Linked DNA regions of Arabidopsis thaliana. The protein of the gene in region 1 purifies or fractionates together with the protein of each later gene. This does not show direct contact. Each region holds a gene or a part of one and is shown on either strand. Other genes may lie near its edges.

Evidence for each region.
Region 2: the proteins of ABCF4 (region 1) and AT4G39520 fractionate together in Arabidopsis thaliana (co-fractionation; one large-scale study listed by BioGRID). This does not show direct contact.

What each region holds. Positions count from the first base shown.
Region 1 is NC_003074.8:20,187,595-20,193,501, reverse strand, and holds ABCF4 (general control non-repressible 4), read right to left. Parts: upstream 3,709-5,907; 5' UTR 3,610-3,708; intron 3,122-3,609; 5' UTR 3,110-3,121; coding exon 938-3,109; 3' UTR 562-937; downstream 1-561.
Region 2 is NC_003075.7:18,370,254-18,376,329, reverse strand, and holds AT4G39520 (GTP-binding protein-like protein), read left to right. Parts: upstream 1-2,090; 5' UTR 2,091-2,329; coding exon 2,330-2,371; intron 2,372-2,522; coding exon 2,523-2,576; intron 2,577-2,970; coding exon 2,971-3,147; intron 3,148-3,404; coding exon 3,405-3,476; intron 3,477-3,778; coding exon 3,779-3,838; intron 3,839-3,915; coding exon 3,916-4,025; intron 4,026-4,117; coding exon 4,118-4,417; intron 4,418-4,500; coding exon 4,501-4,692; intron 4,693-4,792; coding exon 4,793-4,844; intron 4,845-4,950; coding exon 4,951-5,001; 3' UTR 5,002-5,465; downstream 5,466-6,076. Other genes in the region: AT4G39530 (Tetratricopeptide repeat (TPR)-like superfamily protein), read left to right, coding at 1-1,594; CYP96A12 (cytochrome P450, family 96, subfamily A, polypeptide 12), read left to right, coding at 5,859-6,076. UniProt on the Arabidopsis thaliana protein: Binds GDP and GTP, and has low GTPase activity in vitro.

The DNA.
Region 1 (5,907 bases):
TCTGATCCCTTGTAGAAGAAACCAATCTTTCTTTTGAGTTTGTTTATTTTTATTGCATTTTTGCTTTCATTTAAATTGACTTCAAAATAATTATAAAAAGATTAACGACAGCCACAAAAATAGAGACCAATCAGAGAAAAGCACGAAACAGAGTGTGCTAAAAACAGAGAAAGCGAAAAAGATAAGCCATTTAGACAAATTTCTTCTAACAATGTATATCAAGGTTACGAAATCAAGGATATCACACTGCTGAAAATGCATCTTCTGACTCTAAACCATACACAAACTCTGACTCATTGATTTATCATGTTCAAAACGACCTGAGCTCTGTGAAAGATTTGATGGCTGATCTAGGTGACCCTATGGCTAAGAATAGAGCACGAAAGAACTAAGTAATCCCTGAAATTCCTAATTTCGTGAAGTCCAGAAAATCAACACGAAATCTCTACCCGTTCAGCTCAATTTCTGAATCTCAAGCTTACTTTAAGATTAGAACCCTAAATCAATCATATGATACTCACTATCTTAATCAAAATAAACACAAAGGAAGAGGCATGGTAAACACAATCAACCAAAGAAAGCCAAAACTACCAAAAGAGAGAGAAAGAGCCAAAAATAATAAACGAGAGAAACTAAGCAAAATTTCAGACAGCTAAAAATATAAAGAAGCATTTGCTGGTTATTATGGCTCTAATGGAAACACACTGTTGAAAAAGAATTGCACATGTCTTTTGTTTTCTTCCCCCAAAACACAACACCCTACACTCAGAACATATGTAATATGGAGAAACTGATGTATATAGTGTCATATATGATGTAATTAACGCACAAATGATGAAAGAACACGATTGCTAAAAATAAAATTGTCCAAAACTTTTTGAGTTTGTTATAAAACATAAAGGAGTTTGAGTTTACCTTAGAAGCTAACAACAAAACTTCACTCATCAACTTCTGCTTTGATTTCTCTTTGGAGATCTTCTTTGTACTCTTCAAATGTGCCTGGGAAGAAATTCACTGTTCCGTCTTCTACAACCCAAATTTGACTCTTCTCCTCTTCCGCACATACACGTGATATGAGTCTCGAGTCGTGACTCACCAACACAACTCCACCTGTGAACTCATCTAGTGCATCCGCCAAGGCATCTATACTCTGCATGTCTAAGTGATTTGTAGGCTCGTCCAGAAGCAAAATGTGTGGTTTTGACATTGAGATCGAGGTGAACACAACCCTAGCCTTTTGTCCTCCAGACAATTTCGCAATTGGAGATAAGTGATTGTGACTTGGTAGCCCAAACTTGCCTAGCTTCGCTCGCACTGCCTCTTGCTTGCTAAATCCCTCTTGGTCAGGATGAAGACGAAGGAGATACTGAACCGGTGTTTCCCCCATTGTTAAAAGGTCAACAAAATGCTGAGAATACCTGCCAATCCTCAGCTTCTGGCTTCTTCTCATTTCACCCTCTGTTGGAACTAAATCTCCCGCAAGAAGATTTAATAGAGTGGACTTTCCTGCTCCGTTAGGCCCAACTATCGCAACCCGTGTCCCCATATCGATACCTACATCAACATTCGAGAGTCTGAAATCTGGCCTGTTGGGATAGCTGAAGCTAACCTCAATTAACTGCAGAAGAGGAGGAGTGAGCTCAGTTGGTTCTGGGAAGTGGAACACCACACTGTAATCTCTCCACTTCCTTGGAGCTTCTGGTGCTGGGCCTTCTTCATCCACTGTCTTGCCCTTTGACTTACTCTTGGATGCTTCTTTTGCAGCAGTAAACTTGGCCCTGTCCTTTACCTTCTCCTGTTGACCCCGGTTTCCAGTCCTCTTCGCTGCTTTCATCTGTTTGTCGTAGACATCAAATTTTTTGTTCATCTCCTTGCGACGCTGCTCATATCCGCTTTCAAAACCATCGAAATTACCACGGTAGAAGTGGAGATTTTGGTCATGGAGATGTATTATCTCCGTGCAGACTGTGTTGAGGAAGTCCCGGTCATGTGAAACAACAACTAGTGTCTTCTTCCAGCGACACAAATACTCCTCTAACCATAGAACAGCTCTCAGGTCAAGATGGTTAGTGGGTTCATCTAACAGCAAAAGGGTAGGTTGCACGAACAGAGCTCTAGCTAATGATATTCGCATCCTCCAGCCACCACTGAAGGACTGAGTCGCACGCACTTGCATATCTTTTGTGAAACCTAACCCCGCAAGAATTTTGGATGCCTGTGCTTCAGCAGCATCTGACCCTAAAATCTGCAGCCTGTCATACAGTTCAGCAAGCTTTTCTCCAGTATCATCATCATCCTCACCATCAACATTTTCTCCATCAGCTCCAGAAGACGACTTCTGCAGAGCTTCAGCCTCTTCCCGTAGCTTAACCAACTCTTCATTGGCAGAGACAACTGCATTCAGAGCACTCTTTTCATCACCAACCACCTCTTGCTCAACAAGAAGAACATCAATATTCTTTGGCACTGGAATCTTCCTCCAAGCTAAAAGCTTTAACAGTGTAGACTTTCCCATTCCGTTTGGCCCGATCAACCCATACCTTTTACCATGTGAAATCCTGACAGAAGCATTCTTCAAAAGCTCTTTACCTCGAGCAGATACAGAAAAAGATTCTATGGTAATATCCTTAACATTTGCATCAGCCATGTCGTCTCCTTCAAGCACTGAGGTCTTGCTTCCAATAACAACCGTGAATGCATCATGATCGTCCTTCATAGCCTCCCTCTTTGCCGACTCTGCAGCCTGAAGAGCTAATCTTTCTTTCGCCTCTCGCTTCTTTTGTTCCTTATCAGTCACAGATATCTCAAGGTGCCTTTGTTCACTCTTCAGCTTCCTCCTTGCTTCCTTCTGTCTCTCTTCCTCATCAGATTCACCGTCGTCTTCTTCATCAGAAGGAGGAAGATCTATGCCATCAGTGTAAGATGTAGATTTCGGAGCAGCCTTGGTTCTAGATGATGAGCCCTTCTTCGGTTTATCATCTTTCTGATCCATGCCTGCAAGCATAGCCGAGACTGACAATTTCTCTTTTTTAGAATCTTTCGAAGCATCTTTCCCACTTGGCTTCACCTTTGTGGTAGCAGCACTCTCGTCTGACTTCTTCTTACCCATTTAAAACTGTACCTGACATGAAACATCAATAAACAGCCAATAAGTTATCAAACGAATAATCATATATTATCTAGCAAGCTAATTCGAAAACTACCAAACTCAGGCCTCTGGTACTGGTAACAGAGCTCCAGAATTAGGGTTTTTCTACTTGACAATGGTGACAAAAAGCTCAAGCTCAAAACTTTATTGAAACCCAGTAAATAATTATTCATATAAACAAATCTGATGCATTCTCAAATCAATTTCGATTCTTTACCATCTAATCCGTTTCAAAAGAGGATAAATCAAAGAATTAGGATTTATTAGCAAATTAATAGACGAACCCTAAGAGGAATTCACTTTTCATAAAAGCACAACTATAAGCAAATGAAAACCTAAAACTGTTAAACGAGAGATATCGATCCGAATCTGATTAAAAAAAACAGAGGGAACTTCAATTCGGTACATATCTAAAACGAAATTCACCACAAGAATATCAAAGAGAAGAATATGAAACTCACCTAGTGAGAGAGATTGCGTAGATGAACGAGAGCGATAGAGAAAACGAACAAACGACGAAACGAAAAAAAAAAGGGGATTGAAGCAGACGGAGAGAAGAGAATCGCTTAGTTATTACTCAACTCCTTTCTAGTGTCTTATTGGGCCTCATTATGGGCTTATTACAGCTGAAATATTTGGGCCTTTTCTCTAATTTCCAAATTGAAGTAAAGCATTCAACTTATGAAAATAGTTAACATCATTTATTCTTGACATATATCATAATTCTGTTAATTAATTCAAAATCAAGGGTTCTATACACACATAGGTATGATCGAAATCCGAATTAATCAAATCATCCAAACAATAATAACATGCGCCACGAGGTTCCCTACCTCAGATATTCAGTATATGTTCTAAGTCATTCAATGAACAACATCAAGGTTCTTCTCCCTCAGATATTCGATATTTGTTTTAAGTCCTGTCTAGAGATGTTGTGGTGGGTAAAAAAGCCCAGCCCGACCTGAACCCAAAATAAATCCGCCCACCAAAAACCCAACTTTACAAAACCCAGATGGGTTTTTGATTTAGTGGGTAAAGCCCGAAAAAACCTGATTGTTCTGAGACTACCCGTGGGTACCCAACTTGGTTTTTGTCATTTTCTTAGAGTTTATTTTAACTGCTAATATACTATTATATGTATGTTGTATCTATAATTTGCTTATAAATATATTTTAAATTATATTTATTTTCTGTATTACATATATATTTGATGGGAAAAAGGTTGAATTGTGTTTTTAGCGGAAAAATGTTGAATCGCGTTTTTGGCGGAAAAATGTTGAATTGCGTTTTTGACCGGAAAATGTGAAATCCTTTTTGGCGGGAAAATGTTGAATGCCGTTTTTGGCGGGAAAATGTTAAATTGCGTTTTTAGCGGGAAAAGTGAAATTATTTTTGGTGGAAAATGTTGAATCGCGTTTTTGGCGGAAAAATGTTGAATTGCGTTTTGGCGGGAAAATATTGAATGTCGTTTTTGGCGGGAAAATGTTGAATTGCGTTTTGGCGGGAAAATATTGAATGTCGTTTTTGGCGGGAAAATGTTGAATTGCGTTTTGGCGGGAAAATGTTGATTGTCGTTTTTGGCGGAAAAATGTTGAATGTCTTTTTTAGCGGGAAAATATTGAATGTCTTTTTTGGCGGTAAATGTTAAATCGCGGTTTTGACGGAAAAATGTGAAATCTTTTTTGACGAGAAAATGTTGATTCACCTGAAAAAGGACTGAAAAAAACCCGTGGGTACCCATTACCCAATGAGGTAAACCCATATGGGTTTTATTTATTTGGGTACCCAGCCCATTTTAAACCTATGTTTTTTTTTCCAGAAAAAATAGATCTATGGGCTTAAAATTTTATGTGGGTTTTGGGTACCGAGTGGGTTTTAACCCATCATTAACATTTCTAGTCCTTTCAATGGGATTTAGAGTTTTTTTGGTTCTTGTGAATGCATCATATGTATTTATGTATTACTCATTAGGCCAAACGAGGCTGGAATTTGAGATGAAATCTTACCAAGAAATGGTTGTTAAGTAGCTGAGGCAGATCTCTGAGACCAATCAACAGCTGATCTGGTTACAGAACAAGATCACACAATACTGAAAGAGTATGGCTCTATGGAAATTATGAGTGAGAATCTGCGTAAAACTGCAGAGCATAATCGTGAGACCGAGAACAAAGATTCAACATGAACAGAACAGAGAAGAGGTAAGTTATTTCCGGAAAAAAAAAACATACAAACTTGACATTCTGTATTACCTAGATACCTACTGATACACATATTCAAAAATAAAACACAGAGTTTTCTAAGAATCAATCAAGCAGATACAGGATAAAAGAGGAGGGGAATTTGAGGCTTTGCAGCAGCAAGAACGTGCTAAGGTTGTTGAGCAGCCTATATGACTATTAGTCGCCATTGTAGTAAGTAAGACTGATCTAAGGAAGCATTACTCTTAACTTAATGTGACCACAACCTGTTCGTGACAATCTGTTAGATTGAAGACTTGTCAAAATCCCAATCATTCACATTTCATTGTTTAATCACAATAAGCTCTAATTATCATGACAAACATTTCTTTGTATTTTATGCCTCAAGTAGATGATAATATATAGAAGAGACAGATGGTCAAACTATAATTAATAACCAAAAAGAAAGAATACACAAAAGAAGATTCTTTTGGAGACGAGCCATTGACTTTCTTGGAGTGGGGTGCAAGGGTTTGCATAATCAGCTCTGAGAGTTTTTATTTTATTATGTTAACAATGTTT
Region 2 (6,076 bases), on another chromosome or scaffold:
TAAGCTATTCAATGGAATGCCGAATAAAAACATCATTTCGTGGACCACTTTGCTCTCTGGTTATAAGCAGAACGCTCTTCATAAAGAAGCCATGGAATTGTTTACCAGTATGTCAAAGTTTGGTTTAAAGCCGGATATGTATGCTTGCTCTAGCATACTCACATCTTGTGCCTCACTTCATGCTTTGGGATTTGGAACACAAGTTCATGCTTACACTATCAAAGCCAATCTTGGCAATGATAGCTATGTGACTAACAGCTTGATTGACATGTATGCGAAATGTGACTGTTTGACCGATGCCAGAAAAGTTTTTGATATTTTCGCTGCTGCTGATGTGGTTTTATTCAATGCAATGATTGAAGGTTACTCGAGACTTGGGACACAATGGGAACTACATGAAGCATTGAACATCTTTCGTGACATGAGGTTCAGATTGATTCGACCTAGCCTATTGACTTTTGTTAGCCTTCTACGTGCATCTGCTTCTTTAACAAGCTTGGGACTGAGTAAACAAATCCATGGATTGATGTTCAAATATGGGTTAAACTTAGATATATTTGCTGGAAGCGCTTTGATTGATGTTTACTCAAATTGCTACTGCCTCAAGGATTCCAGGCTTGTGTTTGATGAAATGAAAGTGAAAGATCTTGTTATCTGGAATTCTATGTTTGCAGGTTATGTTCAACAATCAGAGAACGAAGAAGCTCTCAACCTGTTTCTGGAATTACAGTTATCAAGAGAAAGACCTGACGAATTCACGTTTGCCAACATGGTTACAGCAGCTGGCAACCTAGCAAGTGTTCAATTGGGTCAAGAGTTCCATTGCCAGCTTCTGAAAAGAGGCTTGGAATGTAATCCGTATATTACAAATGCTCTACTAGATATGTACGCCAAATGTGGTAGTCCCGAAGACGCTCATAAGGCTTTTGATTCAGCAGCTTCAAGAGATGTAGTTTGTTGGAATTCTGTCATCTCATCTTATGCGAATCATGGAGAAGGCAAAAAGGCTCTTCAGATGCTTGAAAAAATGATGAGTGAGGGAATAGAGCCTAACTACATCACCTTTGTTGGAGTTCTATCAGCGTGTAGCCATGCTGGTCTTGTAGAAGATGGACTTAAGCAATTTGAGTTAATGCTTCGATTTGGAATTGAACCTGAAACTGAGCACTATGTTTGTATGGTATCTCTTTTAGGCCGTGCTGGTAGATTGAACAAAGCAAGGGAGTTAATTGAGAAAATGCCGACAAAACCAGCTGCTATAGTATGGAGGAGCTTGCTGAGTGGATGCGCAAAGGCCGGTAACGTCGAGTTAGCTGAACATGCTGCTGAAATGGCTATTTTGTCTGATCCCAAGGACAGTGGATCGTTTACTATGCTTTCTAATATTTACGCGTCCAAGGGTATGTGGACTGAAGCTAAGAAGGTGAGAGAAAGAATGAAGGTTGAAGGTGTGGTGAAAGAACCTGGACGTAGTTGGATTGGGATTAATAAGGAGGTTCATATATTTTTGTCTAAGGATAAATCTCACTGCAAGGCTAATCAAATTTATGAAGTGTTAGACGACTTACTTGTGCAGATCAGAGGAGTTAGTTAATAACTACCATACAAGAACTCATTTTCTATTGGAGTGATGGACTCTATTTGGTTAAAGACCAATGCAGCAGATGAAGCTTAAAAGCGAGCCAAAGAAGAAAGAATAAGCCATGGTTAATATCGAGAAGCTGAAGGGGTAGCTAGCTCAGGAGAGCAAAGATGTTGCTATTAAGTTTTGTAATCAAGGGAAAATCGATTCTGTTCCGTTCAAATCCGAAGGAAGACTCAAAAATTAACCCCGGTTCAGTTCTCAGTTTCTTCTCATCATCTCCTAAAACCGGGTTGAGAGAGAAGTTGTAATGGTGAATGCATGAATGGTATGTTGTACATGATTCATTTGAATTTAGTTAAACCGTTTTTGAAATCAACTAAAACCGAAAAACACCAATTCAAAACAAAACAAAACAAAAATTCAGAACAGGGTTTATTGTATATAACCAAACTAAATTCTCATTCTGTTGTAAATTTTATTAAACCGGAAAACCAAATCGGACATATATGGGCCTAAAATGTTGTTGGGTCAGGCCGAATTCTAGACAGTTCTGTTCTAGTTTTTTCTCCTTTGTCGTAATCAGGTGGACGAAACGAAAACCCTCGGGATTCCTCTGCTTCTGTCTCGTCCGTCGTCGTCAATTTCTCTGCATCAGAGATTCCGGTGTCCTTCTTCCTTTCACTCGCGTATAACCTCTTTTCCTTGACGTTGTCTCCGTGAGCTCTCTGTGCTTTGACTGCAACCATGTCGACTATTATGCAGAAGATCAAAGAAATTGAAGATGAGGTAATTATTCAATCCTCTCTGATTCTTCACCTCTTCTCTTCAATTTTGGATGCATAGAACTGTGAATCCGAAATATCTATTCTGAATCAAAGAAATGATTTTTCAATCTGGGTGACTCACAAGTACGAGGTTTTTTTTGTTTATGTGGCAGATGGCTAAAACACAGAAGAATAAAGCTACTTCTCATCATCTGGGTTTGTTAAAGGTACATTTTTTCTCCTCTTTAGGTCGTTTTTTGTAGCTTTGAGAGTGAGGTTGATTGGTTGAGGTGTTTTTGCTTATCAAATGCAAATTTGGTTGATTGGTTTATATCTGTTTTGATACTTGATAAAAGCTATCATGAAATCCCAACCAGTAAGCAAGCTCATTAAGAAATATTTTAACTTCTGGTTGAAATCGTTTATGTTTTATACGAACTCCCAAATCATTGAATAAGCACAAAGCTGAGATATTTTATTTACGGCATGATCTCTTGTGAAGTTCCTTGGATCAAACAACTACTAGGCAGGCATTATATATTATTCTGTATTGATTTTAGAATTTGGTACTTATTCCTGCACCATTAGCTTCTCGTCATATTTCACTGGTCCATTTTGCAGGCCAAGCTTGCTAAGCTTCGGAGGGACCTTCTTGCACCGCCTACCAAAGGTGGCGGTGGTGGTGCTGGAGAAGGTTTTGATGTGACTAAAAGTGGAGATTCTAGAGTTGGACTGGTCGGATTTCCTTCGGTTGGAAAATCTACGCTATTAAACAAGCTGACTGGGACATTTTCCGAGGTTTGTAGTTATCGTTACGAATATTGAACTTCCTTTCTCTTGTTGTAATTGGAATTTTGAAACCTACCACGTATCCATGGCATCCTATTTCTAGTTACTTTTTGACCAACTTCCTGTGCAATATCACTTATAAGGCAAGACTGTTCGGCGCTAGTCTTTTCCTGGATAGATGAACATAAATCTTGGAATTAGAACTGTATTTTGGCTGATACTCAATTTTCTGAAGGTACATACTGTGATACACAATGTTTTCTCAGGTTGCTTCTTATGAGTTCACGACTTTGACATGCATTCCTGGTGTTATCACATATCGTGGAGCTAAAATCCAGGTATGGTATCTACATCTATGCGTCTGTGTTAATCTGTTATTTGTGGGGGAAAAATGATAATTCTTGGATAGTGTTTCCTCTGTCTTGGTAATTGTTGAAACACAATGAAATCCTTGGCTACATATGCCATGTCCTAGCTTGTAATTATCTTTTCTCGAGTCTTACTTCTATATTAAACATGTATCTTGCTTGATCTTTTAATGACTTCTTGGTACTTAGTTTAAGTCAGGAAACGACCTGTAATTATTCATTGGACACTGATGCTAATACTCTTTTTTATGTCCCCTTCTATGTGTTTGCAGTTATTAGATCTTCCTGGTATTATTGAGGGTGCTAAAGATGGAAAAGGTAGAGGAAGACAGGTAAGTCGAGTCTAAATCTCTTGAGTATTTTATATTTTGACCCTCTTTGATCATCTTTCACACTTTACTATTTCCAGGTTATAAGTACGGCTAGGACATGCAACTGCATCTTAATAGTTCTTGATGCCATAAAACCAATTACTCACAAGCGTCTCATTGAAAAAGAGCTCGAAGGATTCGGAATAAGGTATAGATTGTTTATATAACAACCTTTATACACTGTATATTTGATCGTTTCTGGTAGATAGTCTGACTCGATCATGGACTGTTGCTATGTAGGTTGAACAAGGAGCCACCAAATTTAACATTTAGGAAAAAAGACAAAGGTGGTATCAATCTAACTTCTACAGTCGCTGTCACACACCTTGACCTTGACACCGTCAAGGCGATTTGCGGTGAGTACAGGATGCACAATGCTGACATCACCCTGCGCTACGATGCAACCGCTGATGACCTCATTGATGTCATCGAGGGCAGTCGGATTTATATGCCCTGTATCTATGCTGTCAACAAGATCGATTCAATCACACTTGAGGAACTTGAAATTTTGGACAAACTTCCTCATTACTGTCCTGTCAGGTAAATGTTGTTAAATTACCGGCAGGATTTGCGATAAACTTGTTTACTTTTGCCATTAAGATATAAATTTATTTATCTTGCAGTGCGCATCTGGAGTGGAATCTTGATGGACTTCTGGACAAGATATGGGAATACTTGGATCTAACTCGAATCTACACAAAACCAAAGGCAATGAATCCGGATTATGATGATCCCGTAATCTTATCATCCAAGAAGAGAACAGTAGAGGACTTCTGCATCCGGATTCACAAAGACATGCTTAAACAATTCAAGTAGTAAGTAATTAAAATCCTTAACATTTTTCTTTTCTCTGTTATATGGTTCTTGCTCAAAAGCATCGCTCATGAATACTTAACTAATGATCTCCTGATACAGCGCTCTGGTTTGGGGTTCAAGTGCCAAACACAAGCCACAAAGAGTTGGAAAGGTTAGTTCTTCTAGCAAATCAAACAAAAGTTAATCTGGTAAATCGATATTGCAATATCCCTGACTAACTAACTATTGCTGTCTCGACATCGTATTTTATACTTCAGGAACACGAGCTTGAGGACGAGGATGTTGTTCAGATCGTTAAAAAGATATGATTTTTGCAGATAATGGAGAGCAGTCAAGAGACCAACCAAAGTAGCCATAATGAGATCTCCTATAGGAAGGTCAGGATTTCTTTTGGTTTCTCAGCTTTATCTTTCTTTTGTAATTGTATTATTATATCCAGACGAAATCTGTGTCTACACCCTTTTTTATGTCTTATTAGATACTTTTGTCTTCTTCCAATAATACTATTAAGCATGTGATTGATGTTGTCGGAACACCTCCTATTATCTCCAGTATGGGTTTGCCTAGATTTTCTCCTCCCTTGTTTTTATGTATGCAACTAGACTTTTTTGGATTTTATTTACTAAACATATGATTCAGTTTTTCTTCATGTAATAAAGAAAAACTGTTAAAACGGCCTTCATTGCACTGACCAGGTCGAGGTGTTATTATTTCTGACAGTTAGTTGTTACTTGGACTGTTGATTAAATTTAATGACATTAATAGATTTGGAAAACTATTACAACGACCTTCGTTGCAGTGTCTGGGACCGTGAATTCTGATGCACTTCTCGATTTGTCTATCCTCTTAAAGTTGGTTTGTCATTTAGTGTCTGAAATTGTAAGATTATGGACCCTTCTTTACAAGTCCTCCACCAATTCTGTCTCATCCATTTGTGTGGTTAGTAGCTTCACCAGCTTAACACTTTCACTAATCTTAATTCTTAAGATATGAAAAGCAGTTGAATGAATGCATTGGTAATTTCTTTCTTTTTTAATAAATTTTCTTTTTGTTGGTTGCTAATTTATATATGTAATAATCTTACTCTATATAAACAAGTTCCTTCAACACACAAAAGGAACCACCACCATATTGTGTCTGTAAACCAAGCTCCTAACTCTCTCATATGGCTTCTGTAAGCTTACTTGACGTTGCCATAGCCATCATTTGCCTTTTCTTCTTCTATTACATGTACTTCAAGAAACCTCATGGTCAGGTTTTTCGAAACTGGCCAGTTATTGGGATGCTTCCAGGCTTCCTGATGGTTCTCCACCGCATCTACAACTTCGGCGTGGAGGCTCTTGAAATGAGCCACTTAACCTTTCTATTTAAGGGACCGTGGTT